3 linked regions of the Arabidopsis thaliana genome follow. The protein of the gene in region 1 interacts with the protein of each later gene in a pairwise test. Each region holds a gene or a part of one and is shown on either strand. Other genes may lie near its edges.

Region 1 (10,227 bases):
AAAAATTGAATGTATTTAACATAGCATAATTTGGAAAATTCACTTTCTAAGATAGCTTCACCGATCAGTTGAGTACCTGTATGAAGAAGCACTGTTGCGGACGCCATTCAGGTCTAGGTCTCCTAAAAGCCACCAGTACATTGGAATCATACAACCCTTTATCCCATGAAACATCAAGCTTCTCGCTTCCTCGAAACAAATTTGGATGTTTGATACAGAGGCTGCAACAAACAGACCCAAATGAACACTCAAACAGAAAAGAAAGATATGACCATTTCAGTTCTGCAGATTATATGAACACCAACACTATTAAGTCACAAAACTTGCCTGCCAATCACTAAAGAAAGAGGACTGCTAGTGACTGAATATGTGTTTCATATGGTGGCGGCGTGGCGCCTCCAGCAAATATAATTGCTTCTTCGATTGCTAAATGCAGTGGCGTAGCCAAATTCACTATGTTCTTTTTGTTAAAAAAAGTTTAGCTCCGAAGATGTGAACGCTGATCATAATGCAAATCATAAACTTAGCAAAAAAAAAAAAGTTATAATATACCTTCGATTCAAAACCTTTGTAATTCAGTACTATGGGTGAGAGAGATTAAATATATTTTTAGAATGGGTTAGAAGACAAACTTAAAAAGCTTATGTTCAATTGACAAATATATACTATGAATGTGTTCACACGACCAAATCTAGTTGGTTGCATGAGGTATCAGTTCACTTACTCACGAGCCCAGTGGTGAACTTGTGGTGGGGGGCGATTCTTTCCAGTCTCTTGTTTTTGTCTTCTATTTTTTTGGCTTCACTCTTTTTCTTGATATCATTTTTCCTACACATTTTTCCTTTTGTTTTGTAATAAGGTCTTGATTAAGAGCGAAGAAATGAAATTGTTCCTCAACATCTTTCTAATGCGTTTTTACGTAATTATTTAATTTACAAAAAATTCGAAATAATTTCGTTATTCCGTTGTTTTGTGAATCACAAAATAAACTATATATGGTAAACTAACAATTTTTAGAGCATGCACATAGTTGATACACTATGAGTATCATTAACAATATTTTAATATTAATTTTAATGTTTATTTATTATTTGAGATTTTTTATGATACTGGTAATAAATTGTTTCCAGTGGTGATACCGATATTGGTATCATTAAAAAAAAAAATATTTGCAAAATCAAAAAATAAATTTATAAAAATATAGAGTTACAAAATTACTGTAAAATTATGTCGCATAATCACGAAAAGTTGGCAAAATTACTCACTTGCGGAAAATGTAGCTACTTAGCTAAAACAGTAGAAAGACTATCGGAGAGAAAAATGTTTTTTTTTTTCCAGAAAAAAACGAATTTCACAGACGAATCATAAGCCTCCACGTCATCCGATACTGGGTATCAAAAGAATCACTGCACTGATACAGTATCAGGCCTAAATCTATTGTTTGATATATTAAAAATTATTTTGTGACTCTTGATACTCTAATTATATCACCTATGTACATGGTCTAAAAACACTAAACTTGAGGCAGAAAAACTAAAAATACTAAAGAAATTTGGAGAATGAAAAAGCACTAAGCATTGGTTCTTCCTTTAACTCCCAAATTCCAATTATTTTTTCCTAATGGAAGATCAGTGGGGCACCTTAGACAAAAGTAACTACCATGATGATGATTTATTGTTCAATTATTTTAAGTATATTAATACTACTTTCCGATACTCTTGGTACAGAGAATTTATACAATACTCCTTAAAAAAAACTCAGATATAAAGTTATAAACATTTGTATGGATTGTGGATCCAATTTATGTTTTTAAAGTTATGATATACATTTGTCAAGATCTCTCACAACTAGTAAACTATTTAGAACTCTAGGAATCCACTTGTAACACTAAAATCTACAAGAAAACAACATCAACCCTGAGGTCATCTACGTGGTTTTCTCAAGACCAACTCTTCACGACTTCACGTGCATATATATTTCCAAGTTTTATAATATAGCTACAAATAATAAAATCAGCCAAAATTCAAGAATTTCATTGACCGAGTAAATCTCTGCGTTTTTAGTTACTTTTTCTCAGTGAGAACAGAATCTTCTTCTACATATCGAGCCCACCTAAATCAAAGCAGTAGTAGTGGAAACAAATAAAGCAGTAAATAGACACCACAGCTTTTTTGTTCTTGCTCTCTACACTTCACATTTACCCAAAATCTTTATAATACTATATATTTAAAACTTTTTATCTTTTTGTATTTTGGTTACAAAGAGACAATTATCTCTCCACTGTCTTTATGTTCTTCTTTCATGTAACCAATCTAAGGCAAAACAAAACCACAGACACAAATTCTACACCAAAAGCTTAACCAGATTTTTCCCAAGAAAAAACCCATCCATGAAACCATCATCAGCTTCAAGATTTTCTTTAACTTTCTCACACTTTCTCACACTCTACTGTCTTCTCACACAAACACATGTAGCTCAAGGATCTCATCAATGGCAATCACCAATCAAAACCGTCGTCGTTTTAGTGTTGGAGAATCGATCTTTCGATCATCTCTTAGGATGGATGAAGAACTCAGTAAACCCGACAATAAACGGTGTAACGGGTCAAGAATGTAACCCGGTTCCGAATTCTACACAAACTATATGTTTCACTAGTGATGCTGAGTTTGTGGATCCGGATCCGGGTCATTCGTTTGAAGCTGTTGAGCAACAAGTATTCGGGTCTGGGCCGGGTCAGATCCCGTCCATGATGGGTTTCGTTGAGCAAGCGCTTTCCATGCCGGGAAATTTGTCGGAGACTGTAATGAAAGGCTTTAGGCCTGAAGCTGTTCCGGTTTATGCTGAGCTGGTTAAGGAATTCGCTGTGTTCGACCGGTGGTTTTCTTCAATTCCCGGTCCGACTCAACCAAACCGGTTATTTGTCTATTCGGCTACCTCACATGGTTCCACTAGCCATGTCAAGAAACAACTCGCTCAAGGGTAACATTATCAAATTCTTTCTTTAAATTATTATTTTCATTAGTCCTTGTTAATTTTCATTAGTTTAATTTCACACTTGATTACTGAATTTTTAAGATTAGTTTCCATAGAAAATATTGAGATAATATAAACTATTATAAAATTTTGCATAGTTATGTATTCATCATTTAATTTCAGGTATCCACAGAAGACGATATTTGATTCGCTTCATAGCAACGACATCGACTTCGGAATATACTTTCAGAATATTCCGACCACATTATTCTACCGTAATCTCCGACAGCTAAAGTACATTTTCAATTTGCATCAATACGATTTGAAATTCAAGAAAGACGCGGCCAAAGGAAAGTTACCGAGCTTAACCGTAATCGAACCGAGGTATTTCGATCTCAAAGGTTTACCGGCTAACGATGATCACCCGTCGCATGACGTGGCTAACGGTCAAAAGCTGGTTAAAGAAGTGTACGAGGCACTTAGGTCGAGTCCACAGTGGAACGAGACGCTCCTAGTTATAACCTATGATGAGCATGGTGGGTTCTATGATCACGTCAAGACTCCTTATGTCGGTATACCAAATCCCGATGGGAATACTGGACCGGCTCCTGGTTTCTTTAAATTCGACCGGTTAGGTGTTCGTGTTCCTACCATTATGGTTTCGCCTTGGATTCAAAAAGGAACCGGTTAGTTCTCTTTTTCTCTATTATAATTTTACAAATTTGTTCTTAGTGTGCATTGCTTTTTAGTAGAATCCTCAAGCTTTTTTCCAAATTAACAAGAACACTCCGCTTTTGAACTTGATATATAAATAGTTTTGAAACTACTGACCAAAAAACTTATATGTAGTATTTATGCCTATTTAACGTACTATTTTTTTCACTTATGAATTATTAATATTGAAACTATTCATTTCTTTAACCCAAAAAAAGAAATTCATTTGTATTTCATGTATTTCCACTTTCTACTACTATTTCCGACAGATTTTTGACATTTGCTAACAAAATTTAAGGCTGCAAAAACCAAATCACATGGATGGCATTTGACAACTATAAGATTGTATTCATTAATAATGGTGGAGAAAATAATTGAATCCATTGATTATGCCATTGAAAGATGGAGTATATTATAATTTGTCGGCGTCGTTGCGTGACTCATGTTTTTCAACCATCCTTTGACCCCATTTGATTTTAATATTTTTTTACTATATATAGTTTAATAACATCTTATTTTATTATATGTTTTGAATGAAGTCGTAAGTGAAGCAAAAGGACCAACAGAGAGCTCAGAGTACGAGCATTCATCAATACCAGCGACAATCAAGAAACTCTTCAATCTCTCTTCCAATTTCTTAACACATAGAGATGCATGGGCTGCTACTTTCGAAGACGTTGTATCTCACTTAACCACTCCTCGAACCGATTGTCCCATGACTCTACCTGAAGTTGCACCTATGAGAGCCACTGAGCCTAAAGAAGACGCTGCTCTTTCTGAGTTTCAAGGTGAAGTGGTTCAGCTTGCAGCGGTTCTCAATGGTGATCACTTCCTCAGTAGCTTCCCGGAAGAAATTGGAAAGAAGATGACTGTGAAACAAGCTCATGAGTATGTCAAAGGAGCTACTTCTCGGTTCATTAGAGCTAGTAAAGAGGCAATGAAGCTTGGTGCCGATAAATCTGCTATTGTCGATATGCGATCTTCGCTCACTACACGGCCACACAACTGATTAAAAATCTTGTTTGCATTCGTCTTCCTATGTTTTGATCTGAAAATGTGTGATTTTATGTATGGAAACTAGAATTGAGGAACAAAGAAATAGACAAAATTCATTGTTAATGTTAGTGATATGTTGAGCAATCGAAAGATCTTCATAAACTCCCAATATAACTGAAGCCCAATTAGGCCCATATATAAATATTCAACAAGGCCCAAAATGAGTTGCATCAATTTCTTTAGTTGGAGACTTTTCTTCAATTGTTTATTGTTAGGGGCAGTGGAGTGAAGGAGAAACAACAATGTCGCCAATTTCTAAGATTCTAGGAGGATGCAGGACACTGATGGCGAAGGCGGTGACTAATGCGACGGCTACCGGCGCCGGCGTTGATAGAAGAGGAGGAATTCATAAGATTTTTCCAGTCTCAGAGTCGCTGGCTAGATTCGTCGGCCAAAGCGAAGTCTCTTTTTCCACCGCCATGGAGAAAGTGGAGCAGTATACCGATGATCACAATCTTTGGGTTAGGGATTTCGAAACTCTTCTCCAGTTTCCTTTCATTCTACTTTTTTTTTTGGTGATTTCTAGGTCTTTTGATCTGATTCTTTCTGTTGGAGCAATGTATCTGATTTATAGGTCTTTGATTTGTAGAATCCGGAGAATATAGAGGAGATACTGTGCGATGATAACTTGAAGACGATTTTCGATGGCCAAGACAAAGTCGTCGGAGTCAGAGAGATGACGGAGCTTTTGTTGCGACATTTTCCTAACGTTAGAACTATGTCGGCGAAGGTGAAGGCTACCGGTGGAGGTACTATAGAAAAATGGGGGTTCAATGATATTGTGAAAGTCTCAGAGCCGCTGGCTAGATTCGTCGGCCAAAGCGAAATCTCTTTTGACGCCGCCTTGAGAAAATTGCTAGATTATGCCTTTGATCACAAGCTCGTAGATGAGGGTGTTACTCTGCTCGAGTTTCCTTGGGTTAGCTTTTTTACTTTCCTTATGATCTCCTCTTTACATGTTTATGCATTTAGGGATTGGAGTCTCTAGAGACTGGAGAATGGTAGTGATTTGATTCTTGTGTTGGTCATTATTGGAGTAATTGACATCTACGCTGAAAATGTTGTTTACTCACTTGAATGTTTTGGTTTTGTTTGTGGAAATGGTCTTTTCTGATTGCATATTTTGAAAACTTAGCTTGTCAATTCATACACTGTCAGATGAAGAATTCACCAGTTACGAATATAGAGTGTCTTTAGGTGGCTTTGGACCTTGTGCTTGCTTCTCTGTTTGGTGGTCATAGATTGCATTTTCATGTTTAGAGATTATGATTTGTTTAGAGCTCACTTGTTTCATTTGTAGATTACGAAGTGTAGTAAATGGCGGATACGATGCGATGATACCTTGAAGACGATACTCGATGGCAAAGACAAAGTCGGAAATAAAGAGCTCTCTTCACTCTTGATGCAACATTTTCCTGACAGCTCTCTTCACTCTTGATGTTTTCTTTTGGTTCATTTCGGATGCATATGAACTTTGGTACGTGTAAAAAAAAAACAAAATTTAACTTGAAATAGAAAATAGAAAAAAATTAATTTAGGAAATAGAAAAAAAAGAGAGAAAATCATCAGCTACATCGCTGTCCACCTTATCCACTTGTACCCCAATCCCTTTGGCAAAAACTTGTCACGACCTTTTTGATCCAAAAATCAAAATCCAAAACCGACCAATGGATACCAACAACCAGCAACCACCTCCCTCCGCCGCCGGAATCCCTCCTCCACCACCTGGAACCACCATCTCCGCCGCAGGAGGAGGAGCTTCTTACCACCACCTTCTCCAACAACAACAACAACAGCTCCAACTATTCTGGACCTACCAACGCCAAGAGATCGAACAAGTTAACGATTTCAAAAACCATCAGCTTCCACTAGCTAGGATAAAAAAGATCATGAAAGCCGATGAAGATGTTCGTATGATCTCCGCAGAAGCACCGATTCTCTTCGCGAAAGCTTGTGAGCTTTTCATTCTCGAGCTCACGATCAGATCTTGGCTTCACGCTGAGGAGAATAAACGTCGTACGCTTCAGAAAAACGATATCGCTGCTGCGATTACTAGGACTGATATCTTCGATTTCCTTGTTGATATTGTTCCTAGAGATGAGATTAAGGACGAAGCCGCAGTCCTCGGTGGTGGAATGGTGGTGGCTCCTACCGCGAGCGGCGTGCCTTACTATTATCCGCCGATGGGACAACCAGCTGGTCCTGGAGGGATGATGATTGGGAGACCAGCTATGGATCCGAATGGTGTTTATGTCCAGCCTCCGTCTCAGGCGTGGCAGAGTGTTTGGCAGACTTCGACGGGGACGGGAGATGATGTCTCTTATGGTAGTGGTGGAAGTTCCGGTCAAGGGAATCTCGACGGCCAAGGGTAAAGTTTCATTTTCTGTGCAATGTGATATACATTGATTGATTACATGATCGTCTAGGGTTTTAGGAGATGGAATGATAAACAATCTCTAAGTCTGGTTTGTTTGGGATATAATCATGTTAGTCCAAGATTTCTCTGTTTATTAAGGTTTTAGGATTTGGAATGATAAACAATCTCTAATCCTGTAATCATCAAGATTTGAAAATTGTTTTCATATCGCAATTTGCAAACATTGCTATATCAAACAACTAGATTCTCTTGCTCTTCTGCTGAATCTGAATGAATCAATGAACTATGGCTCCTTAAACTTACCTTTCAATGTTTTGGTATCATTTTTGCAGTTAAGCTCAGAGTATTCCAGATGATGCTTGACCTGCTTGAAGATAGCAGATATTAGTCGACCTCGCCTTGAATTTTGGATGTGTTTGATAGATTATGCCTAAATTCAATGAAAAGGCTTCGTTAAAGAAGAGTAAAAAAAACTCTTGTTTCTCTCTGTTAACGTATATGTTATTGTAGCAAAACCATCATTGCTGCGACTTAGCCTAACTATATATAATCTAATGTGCAGTTTCTATTGTATGCTTCTTTCCGATTTTTTCTCATATTTGACTTATCTTGATGTCTGAGAAAATGCAGTCTTGTAACCTGTAAGGTTCTTTTCAGAGGTTTCAGTGCTTGTAAACCTCAAGCAAACCCGATCTGAACCAACTTGGTTCTGTGTAAATAGGTATCTGTATATGAACTCGTGACATAGTAATGTATCTAGCATTGATGACAATAATGTTGTTATTTGATAGAAAAGGCTTATCATAAAGCATCTTACAGTAACATAAGTTATTTTTTCAAGATAATTGTTTTGTAGGCTTAACCCTGTGACAGGTATTGATCTTTCTCTAAGTGTAACTTCCACATTCTTGAGGCACCTTTGGATATCGCTGTCTGTCAGAACAATAGTCATAATCCAGGTACGTCTTCCTTGCGTTTAGGTACAGTGTCTTCTCTTTAGAGCTTAGCTGTTTGCGATTCCACCAGAACTTAGGATCAGTGCATTTATCTATTCCCATGAACTCAGTCTTACACCCTTCAATCTTTGATGCCTGGAACTTAGCAATGTAAGGCATCTGCTTCGGGTCAATTATCGATCCGTTTTGCACACTTCCCATTAGGAACATTGTCTGCACCGATGGGTAGTAAACATCTGGATTCTTGCTGTACACCCTGATCGGTGTATCGTCAACATAAAACCTGAAAATGTGGAAATACATTTTCTTTTTGTTACTGATGTTAATCAATGGATGATCTGATAAAAAGTGTTATATGATACTCACACAAGTTGATTAGGGTTCCAAAGAAAACTGTAGGAATGGTAATCTTTTGTTGGATCAAACCAGAGACGAAACCTCTGATCTTTGCCTCCTTCACCGTACAGATACATATTCGTATTCAGCAAATACGGTGGCCCATTCTTTCCCAAGATCTGGAAACAGAGCTCATCATGGCGGCTTGAACGGGAGATTAACTGCCGTATAGCAGAAAAACAGATTTCAAAAAGCTATTCAGGTACGTAATCTCATCATCTTTATTTTTAGACAAACTTAAGTTTACTGGTCATTCACGTACATAGAAGGAAGTAATGACTCCCGTAGACGTAGTTTGAGGTGCCTTGATTCTTACGTTGAAGTATCCTGATCCGTAAATCAATTGGGATTCAAACCCGGACCCTGTAAGGAACATAGACCAATCACAATCATCGACTAGACACAAACACACAGACACATGTAGACAGAGAGAAAGAGAGATAGAAAACCAGAGTTTTTATCGAGGGTGAGCTGGAGCTCAGAGGTTTTATTAATAACCAAAGCTTGATGTCCCCATGTCTGGTAGTAATTGTTACCCCATGTCACGAATCCAGTAGTCTCTTCTTGGCCTTGAGCCGCAGCTACAACTGCTACAACCACCATAACCATCAGTAGAATCTTCTGATCAGATCCTCTCATCTTGATCTCTCTATCTCTATCTCTCGTTGCTTCTCCCTCACTTTACTTAATCACATTAGAACACGACTCTCTTGGGCTATGTTATATAGGCTTAGAGCAGCCACGTACGTTACGTTGTATTTTTTCACCAAATAGTCTATATTCACTGCATCATCCTAAAATCCTATTCAATTAATTAAAAAGTTTTGAGTTTAATCCATCTAAATTTTGAGATTAAGTTTGTTTTTAGTGTAGTGAAAGCTGTTTCCAACTCGTTTCAACGCATCAAATATTGCAGCTCAAAAAGCTTTACTATTTTTCACGATTTCAATACTTTTGTTTGTTAGCTTACAAAGTTTTCCATACAAAGTAAACTCTAAAAAGGGGAAGTATAAAGTCATTAGGTTTAGATGTTCCAAACTTTTATTCTGCTAATCATTGATAATGTGTTTGAATTCCTAGTTATTATTCTCTGTCCCATTTTATTAGATGTTTTGGCTATAAACATAAATTTAAGAAGTAATAAAAAAAAAATCTTTTATAGATTTTAACCAATAGAAAAAATAATACACAATTTGAATAGCCATAAACTATTTATTTATTTATTTCCTTTTTTTTGGATTTGAGAAATCTAACAACTTTAAATTGTTGTCACTAGTCAAATTTATATATCTAAATATTTCATTGCATCCAAAATGCCTTGTTTTTTGAAATATAAAAATTGGTTACTGCATTTTACTTTTTCCTTCGTACTAATCCGTTTATCACGAGAATTCCGTGTTTGTTTCTTGCAGTAGTCTCAGGGAAAGAATGACTTGTAATGTGAAAGCCATTATTTGGACAAGTGTTATATACATGTACTGATAATTTACATAACCATACCACTACCAGTCTTATTTCTCTTATTTCCGACCTAATAGCTAATATTCTCTTAATCATGTCACTATCATTTAACTTAAGTAACGAGTCTTGTCTTTTGTGGTTAGTGATAAAATAACAAATATTCTTCAAGTTTAGATGATAAGTGTAGATTTGTAGATATGGATGGTGGCTATATTGGTTGTATTGACTCATTTATCAAGTTTAGCAAAAACGTGCAGCCAACTCTCTAAGCTTATATATTTGCCTATTTGGATA
Region 2 (10,792 bases), on another chromosome or scaffold:
GTGACTAATTAACAATGACTCAAACGAACCACTTGTGAACAAATTCACAAAATCTTTCGAAGTTTATTGTGACGTCCCTAAACTATTATATATCGTCTCGTGACTCCAAATTTAAATTTTCTTTGCTTGGCAAAATCGACCATGCGTATTTTATACATTTAGAGGATGATGTATGGAAGTAGATAATGGAGAGGTACTTTAAATTGTTCGTTAGATTAGGTTGTTATGGACGTTGAGTTATTTATTATAGACATATGATAATGTGAACGTTAGCCAATTCGTGTTAGATTATGTTTCCTTGCGTTGAACAGATCGAAGAAGAAGGGATCGGAGCATTAAAGCATGTGAGGGTGGGGCAGGTAAGTGTCCTTTAAACAATAAGAAGTGGGTCTTAGCATTAGCTTTCTGACATCTTATTCTTACCCATACTTACACCCATTACTTTTCAAAGATTTAACAAATATTATCATGCAAAGAGTACTTTTTTGTCCTTTCTTTAATTCCTTTAATTGCGACACTCTTAACGGACTTCGGTTAAGACAGCCTCCATACCCATATGACATGCATCACAAATCTAACGACTAACATTACTATTATATGTTATACATCAAACAAGAGAACTAATGTGTACGTATAATTGTACGCCATTACATCTCTAATTAAAGCAACAAGACCGTTTGACACAATACTAGAAATCTTGATCGTTAGAAGACTCTCCATCGTTAAAACATCTTCATGTATAGCCTATATATTATGTATAATACTTTCCATTGTTCAGCCTTCTCCGCTCCAATATATACCTTCTTTTAATTTCTATGCAAACTTTCCCTGCTTTTCTTATGTACTATATTATTTCACTCTGAACAATTAGTCTCCTATATAGCAGTTTGAAACTCCAAACGCTTCATATTGTGCTATCAATTAAATTTGATACTAAAAAAATTACACGTTTAAGGGAAACAAAAAATAAGTGATAAAAAATTATAATTTTGTACAATAAAGTTTAATTATATATATTGCATATCAACAATATTGGATTTCTGGCATTACCTCTTAAGATCCACATTGAGGATTGACCTGTTATTCAGAAGAAATCAATATTGACACTTGAAAAGATACCTTGACGAAGAAGACCAATTTGAATTGAGGTTTTAATTTCTTTCCGTGGTGACACAATAATAAATATTCGATCTCTAGAATATAACCTTTGATTACGTAAGTCATTTTTCTTTTCCAACTGATTACGTAAGTCTTGTTGCGCCGTAGCAGAATATTTTCTACTACTCAAATAGCTAAAATAAAATTATTCAAAAATATAATAAAATCAGATCACTATTGTTTCAAATACCGCCATGACTATTCGTAACAACTAAATTTTCTCATCTTCATAATTAAACCGCTCAGACAAAAACATTTCATGCAATAGAAAATGAAGACAAATTTAGACGAACCCATGAGTTGGATGTCGAAATTAATTGGTAGGGTTATGAATTTTAATTAGAGCAAAGAAAGGATTCAAAACATGGCTCTGTCAAGGGAACACACCTAACAGAATCTCATGGATTAGCCTTTGTCTTCTGCTGCTCCCTTACGCCCCACTACTTGTCACATTCCTTCGTTTTTATTCTTCAATAAATAATTTAACTTTTCAAATTTTATTTTTACCCTCAATGTTTTCTTCATTATTGTCCTTCCATATAATTTTATAATATATACACACAGAAAATTTCGTACCAAGTTCAACAGAGCCTTAATTTATAGGCATGATCTCAGGTCGGGTCATATTCCCCACCTTCATATAAAATTGGTTAGAACCGACTGTTGACCAAAATATTAAATCTTATTCACTGTTAATTTTCTTTGTAAACTTAGAAAAAAATTTCCGTTAAAAACATGTAAGTTTTAAAATATATACATGAAAACACTAAAACATGCCCCAAGAATTGAAACCCCTAATTAGTTGAAGGGACCGGTTAAGTTAAGAATTTTGTTGAACTAACTCCGGTTATAGAAACAAAGAAGTAGTGTGATTGTAACCAAAAATACGAATGAGGTTAAGAAAAGAGGGTAGAATTTAAGACAAACTTTATTGGTGGATGTGAAAATAGATATAGGGGCAAAGGAGGCTATGAGATTAGATGGGTCATTGATTCATTCATCTTTGAAAATTGAGAGAGATAGACTTTACTGTTTGGTTACCTTTCACGTCATCTCTTTTTGGAAACTCCAAAAACAGTATGAGTTTGTGTGTGTCTTCGTGATCTGTTCCCACCATTTATCCTCTCTGTCTCTCCACTTCCTTTCATTACTCTCACTTTCTTTCACTTTCTTGTTCACTTCTGTTTCCTCACTAGTTTCTCCTCTTTTTAATCACCAAATCGGCACCTTGTTGCATTAATTACTACAAAAATATATTTACACTCAAACCAAATCAGACCTAATTGAATCTGAACTGATTATTGGTTAAACACTTTGAATTTTCGCAAAAGCATGTGTAGAACAAAATTAATACTTCTTATTTTCAGTTATTTTATAAAAACATTAGTTATCTTAATAGTTGAAAAATCTCGTTGATAGGACGATTAATTTTTTATTTGATTTGCATAAAGTAATTGATCTTTGTTGTTCACAAAATAACGTGATTGATTAGCATTTGAAATTATTTGATTAATTGACAAGTTAATATTTATAATTAAACTCATGGGTGAAACGAAATGCATATCTATAGCTAATTTATTTATAGCTAGCGTCTTAAAAATCCATTGAATGACATATATATTTTGGTGATGTAATCCTAATATTTATAACATTGTACACGTAACCTTCTAGTTTTATATTAGTCTAAATACTTTACGAACTCAACATAGGCAAAATCCAAACTAGTTCGATTTTGTTTTGTTCTATAGTTTTCTCTTTTCTAAGCAAGTATATTCCCTAAGTGTTCGTGATTGTTCGATAGATTTATTGTGATCGTGCGTGGGTGTAGTACGATAAGGAGAATACACGTGATGGTTGTGCGACATCACACGCCAAAATCGGACCATGGGGACGCATCACAGTTGAAGAGAAAAGACTTCTCCTTTGAATTGAATTGGATCCTATGTTACTCTAAATGTGCACGTGTTCATCATCTCCACCTCTCATTATCATTACCAATCCTTATTCTTGATTTAAAACGGATTTTAATTTTCAAAGAACTCAATGTTTACTTGCATTGACTACTAATTATTGAGGACATCTAAAATATCTAAGAAAAAAAACTCTTGTTAATCAATAAAAAAAGATCCCATATGTAAGTAATTTTATTTCTTTGCTTTTTTATTCTTAGTCTAAGATCACTAATCACATAACATATTACATATAGATGGATGCCACGTCAGAAAAGAGTCTATTTGAAAGCGAACTTTTCTTTCGAGTAAAACACAAACCTGACCAAACGTGTAACAAAATTAAACATTATCGTACAAGGGGACATTGTAACACATGAATAACTAAGGTTGATAAAATTTGTAGACGGACATAAAGAATTCCAAGAAAAGTGAATTAGGTGAAATTTAAATGGGCTATGGGGTCAAAGAATGGTCGAGAAAATAAAAATTAGATTATGTCAGACGAGTAAAATTGAGCTTTGGATTAATTCCAACGTTTTAGTGATTCCTTATTACACATTTGATGTATTTTTGTGACAAACTGACAAAAGTATATATTAATGCTATGTTGAAAAAGGTATGTTCAAGCTTGTAATCAATTTTGGACTGAGTCACGCATGGACCGTAGCTAATATATCCACCGAAACGGATTGACCATGAGATCGCAATCTATTTTATACCTCAGATAATTTTTGTCCCCTCACTATATGAGCTTTACATACATCTGTTTCCAGAGTAATTTAGTTGCTTATTCTGTTAGTCACTCCCTAAAACAAGCTACTACACTCGATCAAGCAGTAACATCAAACTCCTTTAATCTTCCAAGTTAGACTCTCTTCTTACTTTTCAAGGTATGTTTAAATATTTAACATGTTTATAAATAATTCCATGTGTAAATAGAACATATGTTTTTAATAACTTAGTATTTTAGACGAAAGAATCGAAAATCTAGTACTAGTCTACTGGATATAAACAAAGTAACAAGATAGATTCATAGCCCAAAACAAAAGAACAACCAAATCGAAGTCCCACTTTAGCTAGTGGCTCTACTTACAAACAAACATAATTAATAGTGTGTTTCACCATATTTTATTTCATCATTTCATTTTAAACGGTAAAAAAAAACTGATTACAATTTTTATAAATGTTTGTTCTGCAAAATATAAAATTAAATAAAGCTGCATAACTTTCTGTTTCATAAAATTATATAGTTCATATATACTTCTTCACCCAACCTTTTATTTCATATTTCATATATAATATTAATGTGTATTTCAAAGTGATTGACCAATTAAAAAGAAAATATGACGAAGAGAAAGAGAGTTTGTAGTGCGTTCGGTTAAATCTCTGTGCAGAGGATCGTACAGTTCTGAGACCCCTTTTGTATCTGTATTTATCCCATATTTAATGGTTACGTCTGCCAATTGGGATTTCTGGTCAAATACGAAAAGGTCTTAAAAGTTATTTCTTTACATTTTTACTGTTCATTCTCATTACTTATACACACTTCCACACGGCCACATTCCTCATGTATGTGGGATATTTAGGGTTGAGAGTTTTTTTGAATTGGCATTGTAATATCTCGTTATTAAAAACCATGAGACTGCTACAAAGAATAAAACAGTCAAAATTTCAAGATTATTTGATACAACATGACAAGGAGAAAATGAGTATATTGAAGCGATGTTTAATTAAGAAAAAAATTGAATGAAGAAAAAAGATTGTGGTTAATTTTTTAAGATAAGAGAGGGTTTCACAGAAACAAAAATGGTAGTAAAAAGTAAAGGAATGAAAGACAAGTGGAGATTAAGAGAGAAAGAGGTAAATTTTAAGGAACCCAAAATGAAATGAAAGAAAAAGCTGTCTGAGAATTGGTTGTGCTAAGAAGAGACCCGACTCATTCCCCAATGGTAAACTCTCTTTTTGCCTTCATCCTTTTTTGGTAGTTAGTTCTGCTTCAGCTTTTTTTCTTTCATCTCATTAGCTTTTATTATTTTCACCTTGCACCTATAAAACATGCATTGATTAATAGAGGATAAATTTCACCTAATAACGGTAAGATTCATTTCGGACTCGTCCAAGATATTCTCTACATTCATTGTTTTTTAGGTCGACACTCCCAACATTAATTTATTTTGTCATAATCCATTGGTTTTCATTAAATAAAAGAGGAAATACTATCTTATACATCAAACTAAGATAAACATTAATTATTCATAAAAGTAGGAAATTTGTATAAGGAACCATAGAGAAGCAGCGTAATTAATGTTATCGTTTGATTATGAACCCTAATACGACTATAAAACTATTGCATACTTTTCAATTACTATCAATCTATGGACATGGAAAAAAACTTGGTCTTCAAATCTTAGTTACTTTTAAATTTAATAAATGATTTATCAGAAAAACTCTTTAACTTCTATGAAACTAGGTACACCTGAACAAATGTATAACAGTCCACAGCAAAATCGAATATCGATAATACACATTTGTACTTACTTATTACAGTAGTGTATATGTAATATATATAATAATGTATAAATGCAAAGAACTCTGTCGTTTGAATTAGTCCGTGACGACGGTCCATAACCCTTTTTAACAGTCGTCAGAAAACACGGTCGCGACATGTACATACACGCACATACCTAAAGCCATACGTAACAAACACACCATTATATACAAAAGATATTCTATTATTTTTAAAAAATAATATTTATGACACACATTTACGTACGTGTATATATAATATGCAAATGCACTCACATAAGTCTTTCTCCTCCGATGGTATATGTCTATAAGCTGACGTGACATCTCTCTTAATTCTCAATAACACTTCTCTTCTTCTTCCTTTCTCCCAACACTAACTCCATGTTTATAACGGAAAAACAAGTGTGGATGGATGAGATCGTCGCAAGAAGAGCTTCTTCTTCTTGGGACTTCCCTTTCAACGACATTAATATTCATCAGCATCATCATCGTCACTGCAACACAAGTCATGAGTTTGAAATCTTGAAGAGTCCTCTTGGAGATGTAGCGGTTCACGAAGAAGAGAGTAATAATAATAACCCTAATTTCAGTAACAGCGAGAGTGGTAAGAAGGAGACAACAGATAGTGGTCAGTCTTGGTCCTCGTCGTCTTCAAAACCATCGGTCTTGGGGAGAGGACATTGGAGACCAGCTGAAGATGTTAAACTCAAAGAGCTTGTCTCCATTTACGGCCCACAAAACTGGAACCTCATAGCTGAAAAGCTTCAAGGAAGATCTGGTAAGTTAAATCAAAACCTTATTTATTTTCTATTTCTTTTGACAGCAAGTTAAATCAAAACCTTATAGATCTTCAAAATTTCATCAAAACCAGTTTGTTTGATTCATCTGGATCTGTCAAGTTCTTAAGATCCGGTGATAAAATCAATTTTTGTTTTTATTAGTTTTCTTGGTCTTTAGCCTTCTATGTCCAATCTAAGTCCTAACGTAATTTTTTTTGAGTTTTATTAACTTAATCTTGATTGTTTTTAAAGGGAAGAGCTGTAGACTACGATGGTTTAACCAATTGGACCCGAGGATAAACCGAAGAGCTTTCACAGAAGAAGAAGAGGAGAGGCTGATGCAAGCACATAGGCTTTATGGTAACAAATGGGCAATGATTGCGAGGCTTTTCCCTGGTAGAACTGATAATTCAGTGAAGAACCATTGGCATGTTGTCATGGCTCGTAAGTATAGAGAACACTCTTCTGCTTACCGTAGGAGAAAGCTTATGAGTAATAATCCACTTAAACCTCACCTCACCAATAATCATCATCCTAACCCTAACCCTAATTACCACTCTTTTATCTCCACTAATCATTACTTCGCTCAGCCTTTCCCCGAGTTTAATTTGACTCATCACCTGGTTAATAATGCCCCTATCACGAGTGACCATAACCAGCTTGTGTTGCCTTTCCATTGCTTTCAAGGTAGCCTATAGCTCTTCCTCCTCTTTCAATAGTTTTTTCAATTGTCTTTTGCATATTTTGAACTCTTTTTTGGTTTTTGTTATATCTACAACGTTCAGGTTATGAGAACAATGAACCTCCGATGGTTGTGAGTATGTTTGGCAACCAAATGATGGTCGGCGATAACGTTGGTGCCACGTCAGACGCGTTATGCAATATTCCGCACATTGACCCTAGTAACCAAGAGAAACCGGAGCCAAATGATGCAATGCATTGGATCGGAATGGACGCGGTAGATGAGGAGGTGTTCGAAAAGGCTAAGCAGCAACCACATTTTTTCGATTTTCTTGGCTTGGGGACGGCGTGAATGTTGAACAAATTGGTGTTAATCAGATAACGACAGTGGTTAAATTTGGTTACAAAAAAAATAGCATTTAGCTTTAGTAGCTAGAAAACAAACAAACCAGATCCTAGCCTTTGTCCTTGCGTTTACGTTAATTACTAAACTGTAGATTGTTGTTGTTGGCACTTGGTTGTCTAGTGTAACATTTGATAAGTCATTGTTTTTAGTAGTACTCGTTCAGAAATATTTAACAAAGAGAGATTGGTTTTAAAAAGTTGATTCTTTTATGATGAAGTGACGTGAAATATTGCTAAAGACGTGTTGAGAATAACAACGAGAGAGAGAGAGAGAGAAGGGAAATTAAAAAGAGTGGAGTTTCTAGGAGTTGGAGAAAGAGACGAAGATGCGTAATTAAGAGAAGAGGAACTGCCAAAATTGAGGCAGAGATTGTGCAACAGAAAGGCCAAACATGAAACATGCTCACCAAATCTCACACACACATTGCATTTGTTTCTTCTCTTCAAACCGTTTTTCCAACTCTTCAAGCTTCTTACCTATGTATCTCTCTCATGTCACGCGGACCCACACATGCCCTTCTTTCTTGTAATTCTTTCCATGTTGTAGATATAAAAGAAAAATTTAAATTGAATTGTTCTTTTGTATAGTTTTGGTTGGGTTAAAAAAAAAGGAAAAAAATTAGTTTTGGTTTTGAATATGAGTTTTTAAAATAATATATAACGTGGATAAATGTATGGGTTTTTCGGATTTTGAAAGGTTGTTGTAGAGAAGATTTTTAATTTACCCATTGGGTCTGAAATTGCTTCAATAGGCCCAATCTATTTCGGAGATGTTCTCGAGTCTCTCTTTTTGGGAACAAACATCCGAGTGAAGTCAATATTAAGTGATTTTCGAAAAGATAAAAACTATTCTAAAACTAATTAACATTTTTCCACTCATTTTAGTAATTCTCCCAAAGTAAAGTGCTTAAAGAGAGGGGGAAAAAAGTGCTTAAAGTGTTTTCTTCTTATTGTTTCCCTTTATACGCAAATGAAGAGACTTATTTTATTTTCAAAGAAAGAGACTTTTATGTTTCTCCTTTAGCTTTTAGTTTGTACCAATCAGATGGATTCTGTACCAAGGACTCCAAGTTAAGATTCTCTACTTTTTCTCCTTTACATGAAAATTCACACATATGTTTTTTTTCCAATTAATTTATACACTAGTACTACAAAATACAAATAATGGAGTAAACAATATTTTCGAACCACATTTACCAAAAAAGACATTACACTTCAGCATTTCCATCTGTTTGGATAATCTACAAAATGGGGATTGTGGTATATAAATAAGATAGATATTAAAAGTTAATTCATCACACAAAAAAAGGTATCTACAAAGTTTCTTTTCTCCTTTAACGTTATATGCTCTCTCTGAAGTTCATAGATCTTGCCATGGCTGCAGGGTTTGCTTGCAGGTTAAGATACGTTTCAGGGACGAATCTGTTGTTGCTGCTCTTTGTTTCAGCTCCATTACTGAAAAAGCTGAATTCTTGTGTCTTCTCGCGGGTCATCGGTACTGGATACCACACATGGTTATTTGTAGCCATACTTGTTTCATTTTTGATGCTCTGAGATTCCAAAAGCAAGCTTGTTCTCTCAAAAGCATTTTTACTCTCTTTAACAGTTTCATGAGAAGTTTCGTCTCTTGTCCTTTTCCCAAGACATGTAGAAGTGTCGAGGGTAGACCAAACCGGTATCGCGCAGCCCCAGTAGACGGGCATGTGGTAGAAACTAGGGTTTGGAGGGTATTGGTAAGGCCAAGGAGGCGAAACAGGGGATGCTTGGGGAGGAAGTAACCCTTGGAAGTTGTTGGGTTCTTGTGAAACAGGTTCAGCGTTTATCTTCACTTCGTTTGATTGATGCTTAGGCCTCTCAGTTACCAAAGAGTCCGAAGACTCGAAGCTTAGAATCTTTGTTGAGGAGCTATTGTAATTGTCAGTATCCTCGGAAGTGATGTGCAGGTACTGGTCTGAAGAAACCCATCCCTTGTTCTTGCGACGGCCTGAGCCAACCGGGACGATCCTCATGGATCCACCAGCGGTCCAATACCTCTGGCATTTTCTACAGAAGTGACGTGGCTGGTTAACGTTGTAGTTGTTGTAGTAACAGAATTTGGTGTCTGCGCTGTTGCATCTCGGACATGGAAGAATCTTGTCTGGTTTCTTCAGTTCAGTTGTTTTCTCTTCTTCCGATGTAATTGTTGTGATCTCGCTGTGTTGGTCATCACTGTTCTCAGATGTTTCTTTTGACTCGTTGTTAAGATTAGATGACAGCTTAAGACTTGTATTGTCAGTAACAGATTGGTTATTCATCTGAAAAAAATTGAAGGAACTTGGATTAGGATTAACATCATGAACTAGTTTCAAACTGATACAAGGACTAGAGAAAATATTAAATCTTTAGCATTTCTTAACAAATAAAGGTAAGACCATGAAACATACCATGTGTGGTCGAAGTGATAGAGAAGAAGACGAGGAAGACGAGGAAGAATCAGGAAGAACATGGGACGAAGAAGAGTATGGATCATGAGAAACCGGTGTAATTGTCCAGCCAAACAATTTAACCGGAGTATCTCTAACTTGAGACATACCAATCTTTGAAGACATAAGACAGAAAAGAAGATGGAGTATGAGATTAGATTTGTGTTATGTGTTTATTCTTTATTTGAGGTCTGAGACAAGAGTATGTATAAGAGGCTGAGGTTGGTATTAAATTAATAACGGATCACACAGAGCCACAAGCCATAAAGACAGAGAAAATGGAGAAATTACACGTCAGCTTAGAGAGGGACATGAAGAGATGAGAGAGCCACATGTTGCAAAAAAGTGGGCTTTTTGCTATCTCTTTTCATGCTCTTTTTGATCTCTCTTTCAGTGCCACTAAAAAGATTTGCCTCCTTTATTGTCAGCCACGTCTCATTAAAATGTACAACTTCTTTTGGAATATTCATACAGAAAATTAGAAATACAATAATGCGAAAACATTTACAAAAATGCCAGCTGCCATACATCAGTTCAAAATGCTATATTACAGATGTTCCAATGTGGTTTTGTGAATGAGTACAAAATATTTTGGTTTCTATACGAATAACCAAAATATTGACTACTAAAAAAATTGTTGCTAGGGTAAGCAAAATCAGATATTACAATATGAATAACCAAAACATCGATTATAAAAACTAATTTCTATACAAATAACTAAAATATCGATAACTATTTTCTCCTTGTCATCCCTAGCGACGAGACAACAATCATCATTCTCCTCGAGATGATATCAAGATTGCGGTGGTTAAAATCTTGGTAAAGTGCT
Region 3 (11,363 bases), on another chromosome or scaffold:
AAGCAATTGAAAATATGAGGAAAAGCCAGAGACCCAATTTTACCTTTTTCGCTGTATTTTATATATTTATGCGTCTCTTGTGTACATAAACATTTGCTTCGCTGTCTTCAACCTTCTCTCTTGATTTCTGCAAAATTCTTGATAATTAAACTTTCATTATTATCAAAAAAATAAAACCAAACTTTGACCATTCGTCTCCAAGCATTAATAAAAATAACTGTGAGAATTTTTTAATACATATCGAAGAGAATAATCTGCTGAATTTTTCTCTATTTTATTTTATTTTGGGTTTATTTTAAATTATTTACACTTTTTTTTGTGCAGTACATAACCCAAAACAAAAATGTTTTTGTGGGTCTTGACTTTGTGGCACAATCTTCTAAATTCTATCTTTCCTTTTTTCGAATTTTTTGGATGTTTTGTATTTTTGAATTTTAACTGTAAACCCTTTATTATAAAAAAACAATGAAATAATTATAAATGTAGGGCAGACCTGGTTTTTAACACAGAAGACAGGTTGTCTTCCTCAAAACATTTGCAGAAATTGCCTATTCTCAGTTTTCTTATAAAAAAAAAATATTATCCTTACAAAAAAAAAAAATCATTGTAGCTTGTCTTTTAATAAAGTCTGTTAGTACAACTTTCTTTTTTATTCGATCAGAGCCGTCAAAATGTATCATGTGTCACTGTTTACTACTACTACTATTAAGTACTAACGGTAATTGTGGAAATATATGCTCTTTTTTTTCGTTTCCATTTTATAGTCTATGATATTTTATTTAAATAGTTTATTTAGACCTTGTTGAAAACTCTCAACGAATGATCGATCGATGCGTCTACCAATCATTAGCCGTTTCTTTTAATAGCATTAGCAGTTTTCTCAACTTAAAGCATTCTGATAACAGATTTTGCTAAAACTTGCTAGTGGCAAAATCTATAGAAACGTACCAATGTATTAGTGATTAGTGAAATGAAAAAATATACGTATTGAAATTTTGAAGTATTGTGATTTATGAACAATTGAATCAACACATGCGTTTGTCAGATCACGATGTAAAAGTCAATTTCAACATTCGAAAATTTGGTAGCCCAAAACTTTATTCTTTTCCTTAACAACATCAATCAGTGATTAATATATATATCACCTTCGTAATCAATATTTTGTGGCAATAATTATCATTATTTTCCAATTTTGGATTTTGCTTCTAAAGCCGTTCCACATCTCTTTGATTTTGAGGCACGTCTACTACGTTGTTTTTGGAATATAAATATTTATTTTACAAAATGTAATGTATAAATTTCACATATATAAGAAAGAAAGTGTAGATATGAGTTATTTGATGATGGATAGTGTCGCACTGATAAATCCACATGAAGGCTGCAAGATACAGGCAGGCATGCACATGTTTATGCTCAGCCACTTTCCCAATATTATTATATAGTATTAAAAAGTATTCTAACTAAAATATTTATTTTATTCTCAACTTGAACAAAATCACCGTTAGATGGATTGCACTTTATCATCCAACGGTGTGTATCACAAGACTTTATCACGCGTACGTGGTCCCGCGTGCATGGGATCATTGATCTGAGTGATGTTTTTATTACAGTACAAAAATTGACGCGTGACGTGTCCAGCGATTTTGTTTCCTTAAAGTCTGAAAATCCGTTATAAACGCTGTTGATTGGTCGTGGCGTATGAACGTGACAGCGAATGATACGGATTCCCGTTATTTTGACCGTCAACGTTTCCTTTGCCACGTGGTGGAATCTTCGTTGGCAGATGGGACTTTAATTGAAAAGAGTAAATCATTTTTATCAAAAAGGAAAATTAATATTATTATTTTTTACTACTGGCCACCTCTTGAAATGAAGCAAGACTATTTGTGGGCTTAAAATCCATTTCTAAAGCCCAGTAAATCTATGTATACAGAATTCACACTATCTCATATGTAATATAATGGAGTTTACGGAGTGTCACATTTTATGGCTTGATTCATAAAGTTTTGAACTGTGCGAAATTTCATTTCTTTGGAATGTATACATATAGTAGACCAGCAACATAAAGCACACTCTTCCGTTAACGTAATTTGAACTGACTTCAAATCTATTATGTATTGAATCAGTTTCTTTTTAACCAGTTTAGCTGATTAAATATATATATTTGGAAAATTTATTCATTTCTTATGATCTGCTTAAATATAGTAACTGACTGTTAATACATAACATAGTAATCCGTACAATGAAACATTGATTCTGATAGCTTCGTATATATGTTTTACGAAATTAGTCAATGGAAGAGAGCTTCTAATTTTGATACTAAAGCATTCAGATACCTAACATGTGCCTATCTCTATAAGTTGAACGATATCGACTTCCATGAGATGTACATTCTGATTCCATCATTAACGATTCAGGCCTTAGCCGAAATTAGCAGACCGCTATGCTCTAGTTTAGGACACCTAGTTATACAAAAGATTGCTATATATATATTGCCAGCTTATAGGGACACAATCATTACGAAGGGACAAATCTTAATTATGTAACCATCGATTGGGTGATCATGTAAATAAAACGAAATGCGTCATATACATCATACTCTATCCTTTCAAATATCAATATTTGAACACATATATGGTTTGCATAATGTAAGAAGTCAAACTTTGGCGACGTCCGACTAGAGTCTAGAGACAAACTACTATGAGTCTGAATGTGTTAGTTCCAGACTTCGAGTTTAGTTTTATTAAGGAAATTTTTTTTGTTTTAAAAAATGTGTTTTAATTTTTTTGAAAGTATTAGTACTACGTTATATAAATCGACGTTAGCAAAAAGACTCCTTAAAAAATGTTAAACAAATTACAAAACCATTAAAAGAAGAGAAATATTACAAAATACACGTGGATATCGTGAAAGGGTCCAAAGTCTATGGAACTACAGACTTGCCCTTCGCCATTAAAGAAAACGGAGTGTGGAGTCATGACGTCTCACCCATTAAGGCTTAACATATTTTGACGAAAATTCACCAAACTAAGATTGCTTCCCATGCAAACTTTCTTCATCTTCTAGAGAGTTTCCAAATTTAAGTTTTTATTATTTAGAAACAAAATTTCTATCAGTTTCCTTCATTACTTATTATCCATCACCAAATGTATCGTTTACCATGAAAAACAAATACTCTTAAAATAAAATAAATAATAACCAATTTACACTATGAGATATATCCCTAACATATTAAGGTTAATTAGCATATGATTTAATATAGTAGAAAAGAATAATGTGTAATCAAGTGAATAAATAAAAATATCACGGCGTTGAGAACGTACAGATATGTATATTAATATATGCATGTGACAGTTTTGTGACATCATTTTGTAAACTAATAATTGACATAGGCATCAATGAAACCTACAATACTTCACGTGCTCATGGAAAAAACACCAACAATATATAAGTAATGCCCTCAGAACTTACTTAAAGATACGCATATATTAGAAATTTAAATAATTCTACCAACAAAAATTTTTGTAAAGAACTATTTGTTTGTAGAGTTGGATCAGCATCCAGATTTAAACCCTTATTTTTGTTTTTGCCAAGCATCCAGACTTAATCCTATATTAGATACTGTATATGCATCTTGATGGAATATAGACTATATAGAAAGACCAAAAATGGAAGAGTACGAATAAAAATGCATAATATACCTTGGAAATTATTCTTGGTTATTGTGAAACTTAAAACATTTCAACGAAGTCATATACTATTATTTAATCATTGATTTAAAATTGCTAATCAAATCACGTGTTGTTGTTATATATGGATAAAGAGTTAAACTATAACACAACTGAGAAAAAAATAAAGTTATCAATTTTGTTAAGAATCAATGAAGGTTTCACAAGACTGGGAAGAAAAAAAAATAGATATATGGAGTACATAAAACATTAAAATTTTGCTAAATTTTACTTTTGAACTCTATTGATTCGGGTTGACATGATGATAATGTTACATTCGTACAATTTCACAATGAAAAAAACGAGTACTAAATATTGTCAATCAAACATATGAATGTACAAAAATCCATAAACTCTACCAAAATAGAATGAAGATTCTGAAATCAAACCTACTTTTTCTTTTTAATTATAAATTCAACTATATTATAAATTTATTTATCACAAATAATAGAGGAGTGAGAATATTTTAGACAACGCAAATTTCTTTTATTTAGTTCTTATACTTTATTTTTTACCAAACGTTAATTAAAAAAATCACACATACATAATTTCTAAAAAAAATGTATTCTTCAAGTAATATATCTTTCTGAGTACTAGTTTATCTATTTATCTCCGTATTTAATAATCAAAAGTTACGTTTAAAATAGAAACAACTTTTATCAAACAAAATATATTAGAAAACGCATGGTACTGGCTACTGGAAAGAATCATGACCTGTAAATTTCTACAGTTTTCCCGTTTTATATAGTACTTAGAAACTTTGGATTTTCATAGCGCAACCAATAAACACATGGACTTAAGACACAAAAAAAGTTGGGTGCAATGTCATTAATCAAACTAAAAAAATAATGATTAAAAGCATGGAATTCCGAAAACGCAACAAAATGATTCTGTGTTTAGACAAATGCAGAAAGGCCTCTTAACTAATCTTAAATAAAGTCTTAGTTCCAACCACATAAACACTCCTTAGCTCCATTAATTTTGGTTTTCTTAATTACGTTTCTACACAAGTACACGTACTTACACATACAATTCCACAGTCTAAATGATAAAACTATGTGGTTTTTGACGTCATCGTTACCTTTCTGTCGTCTCACCTTTATATAGTGTCTCTAACAGAACGTAACAACCAAATGTTTAAAAAAATAAAAACAGCACCCCTTAATTAGGCTCATTCGTTTTGCACTAACCATACTACAAATCATCTCGAACGATCGAGCAAAGATTTGAAAAATAAATAAACGTATAACTCTAGAGATTTTCATTAGCTAAGAAAAGTGAAATCGATTGTTAATCCTATTTCAGACGGGACAGGAACACTCATTACCCAACTCTATCATCTCTCGAACACCAAACTATATCTACCGTTTGGGGCATTATTTCCCACTTTCTTTCGAAGACAATTTCCCATATATAACATATACACATTATTACTAATATATTTTTATAAATTTTCGTCACATCCCAAAAAAAAACACTCTTTGTCACATCAACTAGTTTTTTTGTAACGATCAAACCTTTTCGTTTAAAAAAAAAAAACTTTTGTAGTGTAAACGTTTATTTATCGATGAAAAAAGCCACATCTTCCGGAGGGAAACTTTTTAAGACACCCTATTTCGACTTTATTTTGTAAATACAGTGTGCATGTGCATATAAAGAGAGATATCATTTGTATAAATATCAAGAATTAGAAGAGAAAAAGAGAGAAGAAGACAATCTATTACTATTACGATGTGTGGGTTGTTAATTTGTTTAAAGGGAGCTTTTCTATAGAGATTTTTAAGGTCAAGGGTCATCGTTCGATGTGGGCTTGCTTCCTACAATCTAGTTGCCTTACGGGGCCTACTCTTTTTCTTTTGATAACTACATCACCTTTTTTTTCTCCGACAACTATATATCACTTTTTTTATGTTTTCCTTTTTTTCTTCACAATAATTCTTTACTCGTTGCAAATGTAAAGATACACAAAGTTACTTATTTTGTTTACGATGGTTCTTAGTAGTTTAAAGAATTAATGAATAAGATAAACCTAAACTTTGAAAAGACTAAAAAAAATGTATAACAACATACATTATACGTATTTGAAATAGTCCAAGTGATATTATGTCATTGATATTAGCACAAATAATTACGATGCCTGATATTGTCACATTTGATGATTTTAAGTTCTTGTAAAAGATAAGTGTAACTAAATCACTATAGTGAGGCCCACGTTTTAATTTCTAAACTAATTACAATGACAATAAAATAGCAAAACTATTTAAAACTAGACGCCAAAAAAAATTGAAACTAATAATTGTGAAAAAAGAACAAGAGAATAATAATCATTAATAATTGACAAGTGAAATTAATATATTGCTCTTGGAGGGTTATATTTTAATTTTCAAACTAAATAATGAATACAAATGGAAAAGCTAATGATAAGAGTTGAATTTTAATAATTAAGAAAAACAAAAAAAGGTGTACAAGGAGACACATGCGTTTTCCTCATGCATCTTGTTTTTATACAACAATATATATATATATATTGAGTCATTCTCTGCTAGCTCTCTCATCTCCAACTTTCAGTATGATATATAGTTACAATTAAATAAACCTCACATGCTCTATTCTTGCTTGATTTTTGAGTTAATCTTGAATCTCTTTGATGATGTCAAAATCTATGAGCATATCAGTGAACGGACAATCTCAAGTGCCTCCTGGGTTTAGGTTTCATCCGACCGAGGAAGAGCTGTTGCAGTATTATCTCCGGAAGAAAGTTAATAGCATCGAGATCGATCTTGATGTCATTCGCGACGTTGATCTCAACAAGCTCGAGCCTTGGGACATTCAAGGTTTATTTCCATAAAGAAATTTTTTATGAATTAATTTTCTCTCTTTCACACTCTCATAATCCAATTTTCCGAATTTATTAATTTTTCCATATATATGAAAGTGCTGTCTTGTCTATACTACTTTCGATTCATGACGTGATCTCATGTATCCTTTTACGAGAATATGACTAGAGTACAGAGAATCTACACTTAGTTGTTGATGTTGTTTGTTCATATTCGGAGTTAGTTACTGCAAAGACCAACATAGGTTTGGTTATTATACAATTTACTATTTAAGTTTTTTTCTTCTGATTATTTTTGTCGTTATGCAGAGATGTGTAAAATAGGAACAACGCCACAAAACGACTGGTATTTCTTTAGCCACAAGGACAAAAAATATCCGACGGGAACGAGAACTAACAGAGCCACTGCGGCTGGATTTTGGAAAGCAACTGGCCGCGACAAGATCATATATAGCAATGGCCGTAGAATTGGGATGAGAAAGACTCTTGTTTTCTACAAAGGCCGAGCTCCTCACGGCCAAAAATCTGATTGGATCATGCATGAATATAGACTCGATGACAACATTATTTCCCCCGAGGATGTCACCGTTCATGAGGTATGTATTAATTCCATCATAACCTAAATACGAGTTATTCAATCAAAGGATTTGGTCTCTTTTTTGAATATCTCATTTTACATCACAATCTCGATTTTGTTTTGATTAATTATTATTTCATTGACCATTATAAAAGTTGTTACTGATGATAAGATGTACAAGTAAAAAATATCATGTAATTAATATATATATAAAGGTAATTAATATATTTTAAAAAACAATATTTATGCAAAGTATGATCGTAATTTTCTTTAATAACATTATGAAAACTATCACATATTCGTTTTCGTTATTATTTTTTTCTTAAATTCCCAATATTTAATGATAATAGTTTTAGTTACTTCTTCCCACAAATATTTCTTTTCTCCTTTGTCATATACAGACGCACATGAAACTGAAATATGAATTTTCTTTTTCTTTTTGGTTTTAACCTAAATGGGATTAGTGCAAAACATGAACTTTGCTAATATATCTTAGTTGATTTTTGAATATTTAAGGTCGTGAGTATTATAGGGGAAGCATCACAAGACGAAGGATGGGTGGTGTGTCGTATTTTCAAGAAGAAGAATCTTCACAAAACCCTAAACAGTCCCGTCGGAGGAGCTTCCCTGAGCGGCGGCGGAGATACGCCGAAGACGACATCATCTCAGATCTTCAACGAGGATACTCTCGACCAATTTCTTGAACTTATGGGGAGATCTTGTAAAGAAGAGCTAAATCTTGACCCTTTCATGAAACTCCCAAACCTCGAAAGCCCTAACAGTCAGGCAATCAACAACTGCCACGTAAGCTCTCCCGACACTAATCATAATATCCACGTCAGCAACGTGGTCGACACTAGCTTTGTTACTAGCTGGGCGGCTTTAGACCGCCTCGTGGCCTCGCAGCTTAACGGACCCACATCATATTCAATTACAGCCGTCAATGAGAGCCACGTGGGCCATGATCATCTCGCTTTGCCTTCCGTCCGATCTCCGTACCCCAGCCTAAACCGGTCCGCTTCGTACCACGCCGGTTTAACACAGGAATATACACCGGAGATGGAGCTATGGAATACGACGACGTCGTCTCTATCGTCATCGCCTGGCCCATTTTGTCACGTGTCGAATGGTAGTGGATAACGGAAATGGAGGGAAAGAGAGAGAGGCACACACACATAAGACATTTCACATTTGTGTAAAAAGATATAATCATACCATATAGTTGTTGAAACATATAAAAGAAAGTCAGATTTGTGATAATTACAGTGGTTATGTGAAATATTGTAAAATAGATTAATATAAGAATTTAAAAGAGGAGAATAAAGATCTCAAAAAGGAGATATTTCGTTATTGTTGGGGAGAGCATTACATTTCATTATAATAATCAAAATGTCTTCCATTTAATTTTATAGTTTTCCTTCTAGAAGAAAAAAAAAACATATTACGAGAAGCTTCGCCGCCCCGCCTAGGGTTTCCAGTTCCGGTGGCTTTTTCAGCACCAAAACCGGAATTTCTTTGTTGTAATCTCTTTAGTTTCGTTTTCTTGTGGGTTTAATGTGATCTGAATCCTATTTTCTTCCAACGGTCTCTGTTCTAAATTCACAGATCTAGATCTGTGAAGTCTAAATCCTTTGCTCTTCCAGTTTTGCTGCTTGTTTGTCTCCTTCGTCTGCAGCTTCAGTTCTGGCCGTTCCAACCATGGCAGAGGCAGGTTCATTTCGATCTTTCATCGCCTCAGATGCAGATCTCTCTCCATTGAAGATCTAGTTCTCCTTCCTTTCTTCTTGAGACCTTGTCCTTTGGGTTTCGGGGTGTTGTTTGATGTCTCACCGCCGTTTGTGGTAAGGAGAGTCTTGATTTTATTTTCTTTGGTTAGATCTCTAGTCTCAGATCTGTTTTTTAAAATAACTTTGGATTTAGACTTTGTTTTTCAGTTTTGAGTTTTTTAGTAATGGATCTGGGAAGTTTAGGTTTAGTATCATTGTTGTTATTTAATTTGGGTTTTTCCCCTTTAGATCTATCTTAGTTCCCGGGAGATGTATTGTGCTCGCCGGCTTAGTCTTTGGAAGGAGTGTTTTCCCTTGCCAACTTATATAATTCAACTCTTGTAAGGTTCTAATCCATCAATAAAATTTTAATTTTCTGTGAAAAAAAATAAAAAAAATTATAAGCCCATAATCTTGAAAATAATTTAGAAAATATAATTAAAAATTACAAGAACTACATAATATTTTACGACCAAAAGGCGATAGACAATTTTGATACAAGACATTGTGTCTTTTCTAGCCATATATTATAATACACTAATTATCTTCATAGATACATATTAAAATATGTGTTTTAGTAGGCACAGAAATTGATGGACTATGTTATCTTAATTAAGTACTATTAGTCGTCAATTGTATGTTTGAGATTAATAGATTATGATTGAGTATCATTAATAGCAGTCGACATAATAGTATGCTTTCAATTGTTCTTATTCAAGGAGAAACAAACGACGTATAGTACACTTATTTAAATAAATAAAAATTCTAAATCAATCATAATCTATTAATCTCAAACATAGTATCGAGTTATATAGTACAAAAAGATAAGCTAACCTAATATTCTCTTATTGATTATAATTATGTACCCTTTAAACATGTGTATCATTTGCACCAACAAAAAAAAAACATGTCAAAATTACATAATTGAGCAAATTCGGATTTTCATTTAATTCTTCTTGATCAGAATAATCAATCCGAGTTTAATTCGTCTTCCATTATGCAAAAAAAAAACAAAAATTAAGAAGTCTTTATATTAAAAGCATACATATATATGTTTGTAGTGACCGAGAAAACGAGATACTCTCTATGGTCAAATAAATACCCGTCTTCTCAAGTACCATCTTTAGTTTGTTTGATTTTTTGGTATTACATATCAAAATTCGAATTTATTTTAAAAATATCATAGAAAAGTATTTTGTAAAGAAGCTTTGTAAGTTATAAGTTTATGGTAGATTGGTAGTTTAAGGTTTCATATATATACTTGTGGTATATTTGATTTTTAAAAACTAGTTTATTTGTCTCTTGTTAATTTTCGTCATATATTTTACGTGGAAAATTGGGCTCATCTATATAATACTATTGTTTTATAATTTATACAAATGTGCTCCAAGCCGACTATAAATACGACTAGTACTCTCTTCTGCGATACATATTTAAATATTTATTTACTGTGAAAAGCTCGAGTCATAACGATCATCCGATTATTAGTAAAACTTCATATAATCTTTTCGATATATCTAGAGTAAAAATTCAACTTATCCATCTGTAATAAGAACTTATTCTACACGTCATTATAAGTTATAACCCGACATTTGGAGATAAACAATATGGGGATTGTCCCCCTTAGATAATTAATGAAACTTCCCTATTTTGTCACAAAATTTCTAATGATAATTTTGAGGTATGGGTCGAGAGATCAATTATCCAAGTATGCCTTCCCGAAAAATTGACAATTCATCCTCAACGCCATAATTAATATATACACATAAACATGTCATTGATTAAAATTCGAAGGGTTACTAACTATAGTAAAAGACATATTATAAGGACTGAAATTTTCAACTACGTAGTACTACTAAAAGGCCACTAATACTTTACGTACGTTATCACTTTTGTACTGGGTGAAACCTTCACATTTGTTTTTCCTAATTTGTATAAATAAGAAACTTGATCTCATGGAACCGAAAATTACCATGCACGTGTCCACGGTATTAATTAGTATATACATATAGAAGTTAAATTTGTTGTTGTCTTGTTGAAATAAATAATCGTGGTGTATAGACTCTGTAAATAACTAAAAATATCAAAGGTCACTTGAATAAAAAAGTTAGGAGTTTCATATTATACATGCATGTATTATGTATATGCAAACACACTAGCATACTTCAGACTATAACACACCATCTCTTTCCGATCGTGACTACACAAAAGCTAAAACCGCTTCACAAGGGAGATAAAGTCCGACGAGAACGGATTTGCCGACAAAAATTAACCTAAGTCCATCATCGTTTTCCCTCACTTTATTACTTATTTATCTTACACTAACGAGTTTCGAGGATGATTCTCTCAAGGCATATTAGGATTTTTTTTTGATGCTCCTTTAATTCACTGTCCTTTGATGTCTATATCGCTCAACCATTTTGCTCTTTTTACCTTTATTAAATTTCTCACCATTA

The links.
Region 2: the proteins of AT3G48600 (region 1) and MYB117 interact in a two-hybrid assay, tested with the Arabidopsis thaliana proteins (one large-scale study listed by BioGRID).
Region 3: the proteins of AT3G48600 (region 1) and NST1 interact in a two-hybrid assay, tested with the Arabidopsis thaliana proteins (one large-scale study listed by BioGRID).

The regions. Positions count from the first base shown.
Region 1 is NC_003074.8:18,006,122-18,016,348, reverse strand, and holds AT3G48600 (SWIB complex BAF60b domain-containing protein), read left to right. Parts: upstream 1-4,908; 5' UTR 4,909-4,985; coding exon 4,986-5,204; intron 5,205-5,332; coding exon 5,333-5,662; intron 5,663-6,043; coding exon 6,044-6,181; 3' UTR 6,182-6,323; downstream 6,324-10,227. Other genes in the region: AT3G48620 (Outer membrane OMP85 family protein), read right to left, coding at 77-174; NPC6 (non-specific phospholipase C6), read left to right, coding at 2,390-2,979, 3,157-3,659, 4,227-4,696; NF-YC1 (nuclear factor Y, subunit C1), read left to right, coding at 6,411-7,111, 7,453-7,456; XTH11 (xyloglucan endotransglucosylase/hydrolase 11), read right to left, coding at 8,008-8,359, 8,443-8,633, 8,735-8,835, 8,922-9,111.
Region 2 is NC_003070.9:9,265,016-9,275,807, forward strand, and holds MYB117 (myb domain protein 117), read left to right. Parts: upstream 1-5,936; 5' UTR 5,937-6,017; coding exon 6,018-6,414; intron 6,415-6,667; coding exon 6,668-7,102; coding exon of another isoform or gene 7,103-7,113; intron 7,114-7,200; coding exon 7,201-7,448; 3' UTR 7,449-7,698; downstream 7,699-10,792. Other genes in the region: AT1G26790 (Dof-type zinc finger DNA-binding family protein), read right to left, coding at 8,842-9,795, 9,925-10,089. UniProt on the Arabidopsis thaliana protein: Probable transcription factor that involved in boundary specification, meristem initiation and maintenance, and organ patterning.
Region 3 is NC_003071.7:19,217,835-19,229,197, reverse strand, and holds NST1 (NAC (No Apical Meristem) domain transcriptional regulator superfamily protein), read left to right. Parts: upstream 1-6,281; 5' UTR 6,282-6,375; coding exon 6,376-6,562; intron 6,563-6,873; coding exon 6,874-7,160; intron 7,161-7,657; coding exon 7,658-8,281; 3' UTR 8,282-8,473; downstream 8,474-11,363. Other genes in the region: AT2G46765 (uncharacterized protein), read right to left, coding at 8,634-8,858. UniProt on the Arabidopsis thaliana protein: Transcription activator of genes involved in biosynthesis of secondary walls.